Linked DNA regions of Rhinolophus ferrumequinum. The protein of the gene in region 2 interacts with the protein of the main gene of each other region in a pairwise test. Links are inferred from orthologs where the notes say so. Each region holds a gene or a part of one and is shown on either strand. Other genes may lie near its edges. The genes, in order: DPH3 and SERGEF.

Region 1 (7,080 bases), on a different chromosome or scaffold from region 2:
ATGTCACGTTATGGACTTGCTTCTTTAATTGGAGATGAACTCAGCATCTGATAGAAAGAATCCACACTCGCACAGAATAGCAAACTACAAAATGGTTGTCCTCATGAAGAAGCCAGTAATTTTGCATTTGATTTTTCCAGCTTGGCTCATTCCCAACTGTTCAGGATTTGGATTTAGAGTCTTTTTCAGCATTTAACTAATTCTTTGTTAGTGGAAGGAGCTGGGATGGTTTCTCCACACATAAACTGCTCCTAAGAAAGAACAAAATATTAATCATTGAGTGTCTGGGTTACAAATGCATCAATATTAAACTTGTATCTTTTTACAGAATCAATCCAGCTCTGTGAGTTTTTTCATTGCTTTATCACTTCATCCATGTTCAAAGAGTCAATGTCAGCACCAGAATTGTAAACTTAGAAGTGTATCAGTTTTTAGTCCTGAATTCATATTTAATATTAAGCACCGTATCTTATAAACAAACATGCTCATCTTTACTACAGAGCATCCACTTCTCAGAAATCATTTATAAAGACATTGCCACACCTTTTAAGCGTCTGTATTAATTACTACTTACACAAAAACTTCTCCACTTCAGTATTTGGTCATTCAAATACCTGTCCCCTTCAAAGTAATTACTTCAACTAACGAGGATAGCTCTTTTAGTTAATCTGCAATGTTAGCTACTTTAGAAATGAAGTCCAATTTCTGATTATTTATCCTGCTTATGTCAGCTACAAGAAATCTCTGCCTCCCAGGTTACCCTCATCTCCTGCAATCTGATCACCATAGGATCAGTCTGTATTCTGTCCCTGTTGCTGTGTCACTCCTGCCCAGCACCTGGAACCACTGTGCTCTTTGGAATTTATGGTCCATCATCAGCACAATGCTCCATATTCTCAACCTCTTCTTTAAATGTCCTTTCTGCTCTAACACAGTGGTTCTCAAGGTGTAGTAGTGGTGGTGTGGTGTTGATTTTGTCTCCAGGGGACATCTGGAAATGTCTGGAAACATTTTGCGTTGACCTAATTGAAAAAGGGGGTGCACTGGCTAATGGGTAGAGGCCAGGGATGTTACTTAACACCCTCCACTGCACAGGGGAGCTCTGTACAACAAAGTTATTCAGCCCAAAATGCCCACAACGCTGAGGTGGAGAAGAGGCCAGCCTGCAAGGACACTGTTTCCCCTGTAATCCCTGAAATGAGGCTCTGTGTTCTCTCGGAGCCCCAGTACTACAGAGTCTGGCGGAGGGGCTGGTTGCTCCTCTCTGCCACTGTTCTCCTTCCCTCTCTAAAACCCACCAACTTTGAATCTTGTCATGAGACTATATCATCACTATTCATCTCTGTTGCTATCATCTTCCCCTCTTGGATCCCTCATTCCGACTCCTCTGGGATATCCAGTGTAGTCATCCTACCACCTTTTCACTGCCCCCTCACTCCCTTAATGTTTTCTTTATCTAGTTTAAATTCATGGTCAATTATGGTAATTGCTCATCTCTCACTCCATCCTATTCACTTGGCAAAACCATAACCCTGGTTAAATCTAACTTCCTTTGTCTACATTCACCCATGTAGCTGAATGTCTACCACCGTAAGCCCTCTCCATCATCACCAGTTACTGTCCCATGTCTCTGCTCCCCTTTGCAGCAAAATCCTTGAAAGAAATGTCTGTACTTGCTGCTTCCTATTTTTCTCTCATTCTCTCCAACAGGTTTTCCACCCATCTGGCTCTGTCTCCTTTACTCCACTGACACAGCTCCTATAACCATCACAAATGGCATCCCTGTTAAAGCCAACTGTTAATTTTTTGTTATCTTTTTATCAGTGGCATCTAATAAGGCTGATCACTTCCTCCACCTTTCCTCATCTGGCTTCCAGGATATGACACCGGTGGCTTTCCTCCTTCCTCAGTGGTTGCTCCTTTTTGGCCAGCTCTGCTGATTCTTAGCTTCCCTCCCTGATTTTTTAATGTTGCAGTGGCCCAAAGTTCAGTCCTTTTTTCTTGTCCATCTCTACTACATGCATAGTCCTGGTGATCTCATCCGATCTCATGGCTCTAATACTACCTATATGCTGACAACTCCCAAATTTACAGTGCCAGCTGAACACTCTTTGAATGCTATGCTTACATATCCAATTGCTTTCTCACCAGCTCCACTTGGATGAAAAATAGACCTCTCAAACATAGTATGTCCACTCTTGCCCCACTATCTGCAGTCACCTCCCCCTCAGATGATGGTAAATCCATCCTTCCAGTTATGAAGGCCACAAATGTTGAAATCATCCTTGACTCCTCTCATATCCTATATCTAATCAATAAAAAAAACCCTATCCTTTAAAGTGTATCCAGAATTCAACCACGTCTCAATACCTCCATTGCTGCAGCCTGGTTCAAGCTACTCATCCCCTCCTTTGATTAGTCTAACAGCCTCCTCCCTGGTTTTCCTGCCTCTATCCTTGCTCCTTCATAGTCTATTCTGAACACAGCAGCCAGAATCCCTCTTTTAAAACTTGAGTTGGATCATGGCACTTCTTTGATCAAGAATCCTCCAATGGATCCCTATATCATTCACAGGAAAAGCCGAAGTCCTTAAAGTGGCCCACAAACATCTCTGTGATCTGCCCCACTCCACTAATTCATCTTGGATGATTCTCACCCTCATTTACTCTGCTCTGGTCACAGTGGCCTCCTTGCACTGCTTTAGGGCCTCTTCACTGAAAGTTCCCTTTGCCGGGCTGCTCTTACCCTGTGTATATACAGAATTCACTCCCTCACCTCTTTCTATCTTTGCTCAATAAGGCCAGCCATGATCACCCTATTTAAAATTGCAACCTCTTCTCATACCAGCACTCTTGATCTCCTTTACCCTGTTCTCTTTTTTTCCCAGAACACACTTTAATACAAGAATAAATCAGTAAACTTCTAAATTATAGTCTAAATTATTGTCTGCTTCTCTCATGAAGCTAACTACCTTGTTCCCACCTTCCCTAAACTCATTTTAGAGCTCATCCTTAAGATGCTAAGCTTTCTTTTATGTCAATTATGTCTCAAAAAGAAGAATGTTAAGCTTCTTACTTAAGACTTTATTCAAAGTACTAACCTAAAGTTGGGGTGGGGCTGGGCAGTGATAACATTTATTTTGTTTTCTATTGTTAATACCCCTGGGTGAAAAACAATACGACAACTAAAGGCTAAAATGAAATTGTAAAATTGCAACTACGACTATTTCTCAAACAATATATTGCAGGTATTCTATGTATAAACCAGGAAAGAATATGATGCAATTGTTCCCTTGAAAAAGTCTAGGAACTCTGAACAATTTTAATTACTGATTAAATAAAGGAGGAATAAAGACCGTCAATGAATTAACCTGTATAATTATTTTTTTATATTTATTTAGTAAGTAAGCAATAATTTTCATTAGATACAGAGCAGTTTCCTTTATTGCCCCGTCAAAGCCAAAATGAGTTAATTAGAACTTTAAAAATTTTAATTTACAATACGGCTATTAATGGGTTTTAAAAATTGCTATAAAAAACATAGTATTTACCTAACACACTGTTAGAAAACATCCCCCCTTGCCTTACCTATAGACAGACTGTTCTAGGTTCTTGGATCGAAACCCTCCCCCCCACCTTTTAGAATTCGACCCCTTACTTTGTCATAAATCACTTTTATAATGAGAGAGCAGCTAGGACACGTTGCCACGTCTTCCCCATTCTCCAAATCTTCCTATAACAAAACCAAACACCGTATGATCAGCAAAGTCTTCCCTTGGCAATCTCCTCCTCCCAAACCTTCCCACTCATAAGGGCAAGCTCCTTTGTGGCCTGCCTCCCTGCAAGGTAAGTGAGGGCCAAAAGGGCCTTCCGAGAGAAACGTCCTTGGAGACCGCATTCTCCATGGAAGCGTCTCTTGGGGAAAACACCCAGGAAGGCTAGTCAAGGTTCAGTCGCCTCAAAACCTCTGGGAAGACAAAAACACGTTCCTTCCTCCAAAAAGGCATCCCAAGAAGTGGGACCCGACGTGGGACGCCAAGTCGGGGAGGATGGCGAGAAGTCTGATGCTCCCAGCCAGCCACTCCCTCCCTGCCCGCCTCCCCATCCCGACTAAAGGCCAGATGATGGGCCCACTGACAGCTCAGAGTATCAACTTTGGGGAGATTCACAAACAGGATAAAAATGGGCGTGAATAACTATGAGCCGGATGGGCGACTGATCGGCGGAAGCAACATCGTAGAGCAAAAGCGCGCCTGCTCCGATGAGTCGCCTGGTGGGATCCAGAAGTTACCCTGGTGATGCAGAAGTTATCCCCACACGGACAGGGGTAGAAATACGTCTCCAGGTCCTCGTCATACTGGAAGTCCTCGATCTCCACCTCGTCGTGAAACACCGCCATCGTCACTGGGGCCAGCAGAGGGCTTGTCACCCCGGCCGCCCGACACCGACCCGGGTCGGTCTAACTTGGCGAATGCCGGCCCCAGCTGGGGTTGCCACCACGCACCCGGGGCCGGAACTATCGTTTCCGGCGCATAGACATGACGCAACTGCGGGCTCCGAGGCCAAATGGGTGACCTGTGACGGTCACCATGGAGATGGCTGAGTAAGGGGGCGGAGACACTGGAAGACAGCGCTCGCGGCTCAGTGGTGTCCCGCCCCGCTTCACCCATTGGACGGAAGTGGCCAATAGAATATGAGGATCGCGCGCGTGACCGCCCTGTCACGCCCCGGACACCGGAAGCTTTCAGGCACCCGAGGCGGAGTTTGGCCCGGAGCTGCCCGATAGGTGTAGTGATGGCGGCGTGGAGGAGTTTCCCTGCGGCTGTTGTCGTGTGGATTTTAGTCCGTGGACCTTAGAGAGGCCTTACCCAGGCCCCGCTGAAGACCGCCGCAGGCCTAGGTAGCACAGTCCTGGCACTCGGTGCCCCTGGGGAAAGAGCCGCAGCTTTGCTTGGTCTTCGGCGGCACTGGCTGGAGAAGCTCAGCCTTCGTGATCTTCTCCGTGACTTCCCAGTGACCGACGAAAAGCTCCCTTGGAATTTCAATTCACCGGGTGACCTTGAGCTCAGGGCGACGCGTAGCTTGTAGTTCCTGGCTGCACTCGGCTCTTCAGGTACCCCCACGCCTCTTCCTCGGCCCAGATTATATTCAAATGCCCCAAGTTGTGTTGCTGAAAGGACCAAGACCTGGGAGGCAGATTGAGTTTTAGTCCTGTGTTTGCCAAGCATATATCATTATTTACTATAGTGATTTGTAATGACATCACCTTTTAACAGGGAGTTTGCTATGTGCCAGGCATTGCGCTAAGTATAATTCTTCCATCGACCTTGGGAGTTTAGATGTTATTCCATATTATTTATCGTCAAACTAAGATACAGAGAATTGGGAATCTTGACCCAAATCATACACCTAGGAAATGAAGAGGCTGCCTGTCCCCAAAGCCTGGGAACAAATTATTTATGTGAACCACAGTTTCTTTTTTGTAAAAGTAATGGCCTCAGCAGTCACAGCATTATTACCACGAGGCTTCTTTATACCTTGAAGCGAAATGCAAATAAAAGGTGCTTTGTCTTGGAAGCAGTGCTAGTGTGTATTTTGGTATAACCGGATTCCATGGGGGTTTTGCTTCATTACTAGGCAGTAATTCAAATCGTGGTAGAGAAGGAACGCAGTGCAGTGAAAAAAGTGCTATTGAGAAGCAGATCTGTGCTCAGAATCTGACTTGTGAACTAGCTCTGGGAGCTGGATATTTACATTTTTGGGCTTTATTTTTCTGACTAAAATGGGTTGGATTAGAGCTGACTTACAAGTTCCCGTTCAGATCTAACATCCTATGCTGTCGTTCAGCAATCATATGTGCCGTATTTAGTTTATATTCACATATATAAACATCCCTATGCTTATTTATGTACACACACTCAAATGTTTGCATGAAGTTACCAATTTTATGCCCACTGAAAGTGAAGTTCCACCTGGTTTAGCTCTCTTGAGGCTTGAAAAGCTGGAGGCAGAGGGGTCTTTGGGAGAAAATCTAGAAGTTACATTAAAGGAGTTCGTAGAGGATTATTTCAAAAGCCTCACAAACACTCTATTTTGCATAATTGGAGATCTACTCAGCGGTTAGGGAAGATTTTTATACCTTTGGAGCGTTAACTGGGATGATTCTGCTCTGTTTAAGCAAAGGAGAAATTCTAGTAAAGCCCACTTTGCCCCTTGGCTACTCCCTAATATCCCTGTAGACACAGATACTTCCCAGGTACCCTCTTGGGGTCAGGAGGACAGGGGAGAGTCACCAGTGTCTATTCTGTAGTCCCAGTGAGCGTTTTGAGGTTGGGAACCATCTTTAGTTCTCCAGTGCTTCTGGGAATTAGTACCTACAAATTAAAGATGAGCCAGCCATTTCTGAAAGTACAGAAATGGGTGCTGGGTGCAGTCGTATTTGGTTCATGGAAGTATAAATTGGTAGACTTTTTAGAAAGCAATTTGGATCTCTCAAAACAATTCATTGGGGAATCTTAAAATCTGAGGTTAGTAGTCCTAAAAGTTATAGGGGTCGTTGGGTAATTTTTCTGTATAATTTCTTTGTACTTTTCCAATACTTTGTGTATTACTTAAAATGGAAGAAGAAAAAGTAATGAAGCATTAATGAATAATAATTGACACTATGTGCCAGGCACTGTACCAAATGGTTTACATGCACTATGTCATTAAAACAGCCCAGTGAGGTATAGGTATCATTAATCCCATCTTCACCATTGGGGCCCTTGAGGTTTGGGGGCTAAGGAGACTTGCCTAAAGAGGTAAAGCTGGTAAGTGGCAGTAAGTTATGGTGAGAACTCAACAACTGTCTGACCCTAGAACCCAGACTTGTCATCCCTTTGATGCCCTCTGTGATATGAGGGTGTGAAGCAGAGCTAGATGAAACAGTAGCCCTGGAGCTCTGCAGGCTGCTGAGATTTTCACTAGAGCAGTGCTGATTCCATTGAGACCTAGGTTTGGGGGTCTTCTTGGCCTTCCATACTGTTTTCATCCTGCGCTCTGTTAGCCATACCCTCTGTCTGCCTGAGCTGGTTCCCTATGT
Region 2 (7,080 bases):
CACAACTGAAATCTATGTAATTCTACTAACAATTGTCACCCCAATAAATTAAAAAATAAAATAAAAAAAAATAAAAAAAAAAGAATGAGAACCCCCACAGGCAATGATTATTTACCTGTCCTTATGGTTCGCACTCTGACAACATCTCAGAGCCTAGAACAGATGCGATTTCATAGGTTCATTCTTATACGCGACCCACACTTAGCCGGTGGCCCCACCCCTAGGGCACCAGTTTCCACGTGAAAGGAGCCCTTAGCGTGCATAGCTTATCCAACGATCCGCCTCCCCTTCCCCTTCCAAGGCCCCCACCCAACCCCCGTATGTTGCTTTTGGGGACAGCATGGGAGTTCCTTCTGAGAAAAGCTAATTACCTGGGGTGGCTAAGAACAGAAATAATGAGGGGAAATGGGAACAAAGTGGGTGGGAAATACACTGGGACTACTTCTTGTCCCTTCTCCCCACACCCTCACTGGAAACACTGGCAATGACTTTTTCTGTAACAAAGAATTTTGAACCCTCCAGCAGGGCACATCATTGTTATTTCATCTGTAAGTGAAAGAAGCTGGCAGCGATCTCTCAGGGCCTTTCCAAGTACTATGTTTTGTGACTCTAAGAGTATGAGATCCCTGTAAGGGAACAGATCTCCTCATGGTGAGCAATACGTCTATTGCTGTTATTATACAATAAAGGTCCATAATCCCTAATCCCTTGCAGCCAGATATATTTCAGATGCAGAATTTTATGGACTTTAGAAAAGTAATACGGTATATAAATCATATACACTGCTGCAAGGGCTGGGAGCAGCACCCCATAAGCAAAGCAGTATTATTTCTGCAGGAAACGGTACACATATTCACAATAAGTGGGTAAAAACTATAAACAGCCTTCTGTCAGGTCAGTTTGGGGTGTTCAGAGCTTTTTGTATTGGAAATGGAAGATAAGGGACTGTGAACCTGTGAGGAGAATCTTATTATGATTTCAAAAATCCTTATAATTTCTCCAAGTATCTATTTCTGGCTGGGTCTTCCTAAAGATGAGTAATAAAACCTTTAAAATGTGTTCGTTTTTTAAGAACACCTGAATGAGGAAAAGAGATTTAAAATAACGACAAAAAATACAAGCCCCTGCCCCTTGTGGTCTATTCTACAGCTGTCCAGGGCTGCAAGGACTCCAAGCTGGAAGAGCAAGCCATGGCAGGGACACAAGTCCCAGAGGTCCAAGGGGGCAATATTTATTACCAATCACTGAGTGTTTCTCCGTGTGCTGGGCATTCATCTTTACGTCTCACAACAGAGGAGGTGGGCACTGTTACTGTCATTGTACAGATGAAGAAACAGACAGGTTAAGTAGCTTTCCATAGTCACATAGCTGGGTAGGCAATACGTTGGATGCCCACTCCTTTCATTATTCTATACTGTGTCTCTAAAAATAAAGAAAAAAGGACATATGGTGAAGCAGCCCAGAGCTCACCTAGCAGGAGGCTAACTGTATGACCCTACCTAAAATAGCACACTGTCACTTCCTCACTGTTTTTCTGCTTTATCTTTCTTCATAGCACTCCCTGACATTGCAAGTTTACTTGTTTACTGTCCATCTCCTAAAAAGTAAACTCCATGAGGCAGGAACTTTGTTTTGCTCACTGCTATTCCCCTGCATCTGAAACTGTGCTGGCCCAGAGAAAGTTGCATATATTTTATAATGAATTAATGTAAGACCCTATGAGTCCCCATCTAGGAAAGATTAAATGAAAAGCTTCCATTGTGACATGGAGGGCAATGCACAGGATTTCTCTGTCAACCCTGAGTTCTCCGTGGCTGCCCCATTACCAAGGCTACAGGTTGCTGAACAGAAAGTCAGATACCAGCATTATGGAATTCAAGTTATGGGACCAAATTTTTATAATGCAGCAAGAGATCCTAAATCTATGATAAAGCAAAACAAAAGGAAATTTCAGTACAACTTATTAAGCTGTATTTGCCTCCCTTCCTTACACCACACATAAACACACACACACACACACACACACACACACACACACACACAACTCCAAGGAGGTAAATCCCCTTGTTATGGACTGAATTGTGTTCCCCAAAAATTTATTTGTTGAAACTCTATCTCAGAATGTGACTGTGTTTGAAGATAGGACCTTTGAAAAGGTACTTAAGGTTAAATGAGGTCATAAAGATGTGGCCCTAATCCAACGTGACTGGTGTCCTTATAAGAAGAAACACAGGGATGCTGTCACACAGAGAAAAGGCTGCGTGAGAACACAGAAAGAAGGCAGCCATCTGCAAACCAAAGACAGAGGTCTCAGAAGAAACTAAACCTGCTGCCGCCTTGATCTTGGACTGCTGACCTCCAGAACTGTGAGAAAATAAACTTCCATTGTTCAATCCCCCCAGTCTCTGGTAGTTTGTTATGGCAGCAGAGCAAACTAATACACCCCTCCACACACATTAATGCAGCCGGAAGAACACACACCGTCAGGCCTCCCAGCACAGCAGAGGGGTTAGATTCGACAGCCTTTTTGTTTCAGTACAGACAAGGCCCTATCTGAAAGGCTTTTTCTGTCAGATGTTTCTCTGTCCCCACAGACCAGTCTCTGGCCTAGGAAAAGCTAGAGACAGCACCCAGGCCAGGCAAACATTCAATCCCCAACACCACCCCCAGCTCAAAGATACTCAGACTACCTCGGGCCACACCACGTTCTCCCTCCTGCCAGTCTGCAGTCTTACACACAAGCGCTCCCTGTACTGATACTTACTGTTTTTTCCAACTAGTTAATACATCCTGGTTTAACAGCAATACAGGTATTTCTCTCCCTTTCCCCCCACCCAATACTAGAGTTGGAAGTCTTTCACTCTGGTGCTTTTCTCAAAAGACCAGCACGTACTAGCTCTCACACAACAGGTCCTCATTCATTCATTCGTCAACAAATACTTACTGAGCACCTTACAACAAGCAGGACCCTGGCACCGTGAACAAGACAGGCACGGTACCCACCGTTACCACGCTTACATTCTAGCCAAGGAGCCTGACATTAACAAATTATACATTTCATTACAATTGGCATGTGGGCTATGAAGAACCACACGACACTGCGTCTGGTTGTTCCCGTGCATCTGGTCGGTGCCTGCCACACACGCCGGTGCAGAGACCCTCCTCTCTCCCAACCACGAGAGACAAAAAGATGCCTCTAGTCTCTCAGTGTGCCCGTCAAACCAACACCAGCGCAGACTCCCACGCCTCCATACAGGCAAGATCCGGTCACAGCGGAATATCAGTAACTATGCAGGGTCTCCGCCGGGTGCGCCGCCAAACACCGCAGGCCTCACATCAAATAATGCTCCCGCCAGGCTGGGGTAGGGCTGGAGAGAGGCCTCCATCCTCCAGGCAATGGGAGGGTGGGGAGCACAGTTAGCCCGACGGGGCGATCCTCTCTCTCCAGAGGCCTCCACGGTCTTTCCCGGAGCTCTCGCCGAACCAGACGCTCTGCCCTGGAGACAGGTCCTTCCCACTGCGCCGCAACCCCTCCGGTCCGGACCCCCCCAGCGAGCAGGCCCCCTAAGTCACCGCGTGAAGACCCTCCCCTCCCCGCCCTCTCCACTTCAGACCCCAGCCCAGGATCCTCCAACCCAGAGCTGGAGCCGGGATCGGACCTCAGCTGCGCAGCCCAGGACAGCCCACGCCGAGGCCCGGAGCTCCCGGCGTCTGTGCGACCCTCAGTCCCAGCGGCCCCGGCCCGGGGGCGGAGCCACGTACCCAGGCGAAGAGCGCGACCGCGGCAGGGGTAGCCTCGGAGGCGCTCAGCTCGCGCTCCATGCGGAGACACTCCGCGAGCGCTTCCGGAAGGGGCCGGAGGAGGGGCCCGCCGGGGGAGGGACTTGGGGCCTGGGGGTGTGGGGCGGCGAGGGGCGGGGCCTGTGGTTGCGAGGGGGCGGTGCGGAGGGCGGGGCCGGAGGACCGCGCCCAGGTGCCGCCTCCTGAGCCGCCTACCAGTGTGGCCCCGCCCCGGCGCGCTCTGAGCGTCTCCGCCCCCGGCCTCCTGTGCTGCAGGGTCCGTGTCTCTCCCTCACCTTATAATTCTATACGAGTGCACCACGCTCCTTCACGTTTTTATCTCTTTGGAGCCCCACGACAGCCCAGAGGGGCTAGCAGGGCAGGAATTGTGTCACCATTTAATGGGGAAGAAATTAAGCCTGGGAAGGGGTGGGAAGGGTTCTGCCCCAGGGTCTTAGGCCACGCTGTCGCTGGGCCTGCTTTGGTGTGCTGGGCTTGCTTTGGTGTGCGTTTGCAAAATCTGAGGGAGCTTTTTGGTAGGCGAGTACAGTGTCTTACATGGTTGGTGTCTCCTTCAGCGCCTGGCACCAACGAGAACTTACACCTCGGGACATTGAACTGAGGAGGCTTGTTCTTGGGGATTCCTGCCAGGGCAGCCTTCTAACTCAGAGCTCCGAGCCTGGACCTGCCCTGGTTCTGATCATCAATACCAGATAATTTTCACCGAACAAAAATTTTCATATACAATGGCCTTTATCAGAAACACCCATATACTTTTGGTGGAAGCTAAATAAGTACAATTTTCCTGAAGGAAAATGTGGCAATGCCTATTGGGAACATAAAAATAGATAAATAGATATTTACCCAGTAATTGCACTTCTGTTAATTTATCACAAGAGCAAAATCAGAGCTGTTCACAAAAACTTAAACTGCAAGTTATTCATTATGGGGTTACATATAATCGGAAAGAACTTCACTACCTGAAAATCCAAAAATAAATTGATTTAATTATGACATAGCCATGCAATGGAATAAACTAGGCTGCCATTTAAAAATGTTTTGGAAGATATTAAATAAAGGAAATATTCATGATATGTTGTTAAAGTATTATACCAATTTTCCACAGGTGTGTATCTGTGTGTGTGTGTGTGTGTGCACGTTTGAATGGAAAATTGGTATATTACAGGTGATTTTTATTTTCTTTTTTGTACATAACCCACATTTTCCAAGCCACACATTTTATTATGGCTACAAATGGGGCCGCATTAAAGATGATAATCCATATTCACTAGTTCTTGACCCCTCTGTTGACACAAGCCTCCAAAACTCCTCACCCTTTATGCCTCAGAGCCCTGGAGAGTGTCTGGGGTGAGCTCAGCCCTTTCCTGTTCTTTCTCTCCACCCACTCCTCATTGTTTTTGCTTGTAAGACCACTTGAGGGCAGCACCTCACCTTTACCTCTCCAGCCTATGGCATCTTGAGAACATCAATGGCCAGGCTAACTAAGAACAATACAAACTTTAGAGAGGCAAAGCAGCTCTTCGTTCCGGGAGACTTTGATGTGCGAAAATTATACCATGCTTGCTGATGCATATGTAATAGGACATAAAAATAGCACCCTATCTGTTTGGGCTAAGACCCCAAGACATTAAGTGCCAATACACCCACATTATATTAATAAAATGAGGTACAAGACCACCAAAAATAACTTGTGAAGGTGTCTAGAAACCAGGGTATGATTGCCAGTGTATGAAAAAGATTGGAGAGACTGAGAGAGAATTCTGATAGGATACCGTGTTTCCCCGAAAATAAGACCTAGCCAGACCATCAGCTCTAATGCGTCTTTTGGAGCAAAAAATTAATATAAGACCCGGTATTATATTGTATTATATTATATATATTATATTATATTATAGACCTGGTTTTATAGTAAAATAATACCGGGCCTTATATTAATTTTTGTTCCAAAAGACGCATTAGAGCTGATGGTCCGGCTAGGTCTTATTTTTGGGGGGAAATAGTATGTGGCAATAGTTGTCAATATGCTGTGAGTCCCGCCTATCTCATGTCTAAGGAAAGGCATGCTTCAGCTGGGCTACTTAGAGAGCTTCATATGTATCCCTCCAGTCAAGCTGCCGTCCAATTCGTGTTGAGATATCCAATAACTTTTAGTTAGATCACTGCTCTAATAGTTGAACAAGAAAGACTGATGCTTTGGAGAGGTCTTTCATACCCCGTTTTTCATAACAAAGAAAGTCTGAGTACGCAAGAGCAATTTGGCCAGGGGGATGGTCTTAGACCCAGTCCAAGGGAATTCTGGAGGGGTGAAGTGACACCCCAAGAGAGTTGACCACTAGATTCTTAAGAGGCTGAGGGAGATGAACTCAACAGCCCAGTCAGAGAGGTACATTTACCCACATCAAGAGATCCTAAGAAATAAGGTGGGAAGGTCTTCCAAAACACCCACAGAGAATGAGTCAGCACTAAATACTCACCACGTACAGAAAGCCCTGATACCTACTCACAGCCGTATCAGACCAAAAAGAACTTTCCACTCCTTACCTCTCTTTTCTGCCATCATTCCCAAACCCTGGAGGAGCCAGAGGCATTCAGAGGGTGGGGAAGGAGGAGCAAGAAAATAAAGAAGCTAAGCACACCCTTTCTCAGTTCTAAAGAAGAAGAAAAATGGTGGACTTAGGTAAAGTTTGTAACTTTTACTTAAGACTGAACTTTTAAAATACTGAAGAGAGAGAAAGAGACACAGAGATATTACAAGCTAAGGACTGAGAGTGAACAGAAAATTCAAGGCCAGGACCCAAGATTTCACCCAAAGGAGCAAAGAACTACCCACAGAGCTAGTTTTACTAGAGAGAAGGTCTGGGAGATTTCACCCCTTGAATATACATGCAGCAATGCTTTAGCTAATTTACAGTTATATTATTATGTTATATTCCTTAATACAATTTCTTGGAAGTGGTGAGATGTTGTAACTATTTCAACTATTTACATGCCACTCACTAGCTCTTCCCATTCGTAGCCTGGTTGAGTTGCAGTTCTTGAATGAACCGAGATTTAAACTATTTGAGGGTATCACTTTCAGATGCCTTATATCCCCATAAAAGGAAATTATAAAGTATTTTGGGCCATACAGACTATATCTCCATACCATACAGGTGAGGAAATTTATTCCATTAGATTATCTTATTTGATCCTCTCAATATTACTGGTATGATAAGTATCGGGAGGACCATAGTTATCTTATAGACGAGAAAACTGAGGTCCAAGAAGTTATATGATTTA

Evidence for each region.
Region 1: the proteins of SERGEF (region 2) and DPH3 interact in binary tests that used the Homo sapiens proteins (3 or more experiments, as listed by UniProt). The link is inferred for Rhinolophus ferrumequinum from reciprocal best matches to the Homo sapiens genes SERGEF and DPH3.

The regions. Positions count from the first base shown.
Region 1 is NC_046300.1:30,642,029-30,649,108, reverse strand, and holds the start of DPH3 (diphthamide biosynthesis protein 3), read right to left. Parts: upstream 4,547-7,080; 5' UTR 4,399-4,546; coding exon 4,291-4,398; intron 3,733-4,290; coding exon 3,658-3,732; intron 252-3,657; coding exon 186-251; 3' UTR 1-185.
Region 2 is NC_046294.1:35,805,811-35,812,890, reverse strand, and holds the start of SERGEF (secretion-regulating guanine nucleotide exchange factor), read right to left. Parts: upstream 3,907-7,080; 5' UTR 3,823-3,906; coding exon 3,763-3,822; exon of another isoform or gene 3,660-3,762; intron 1,423-3,659; exon of another isoform or gene 1,239-1,422; intron 1-1,238. UniProt on the Homo sapiens protein: Probable guanine nucleotide exchange factor (GEF), which may be involved in the secretion process.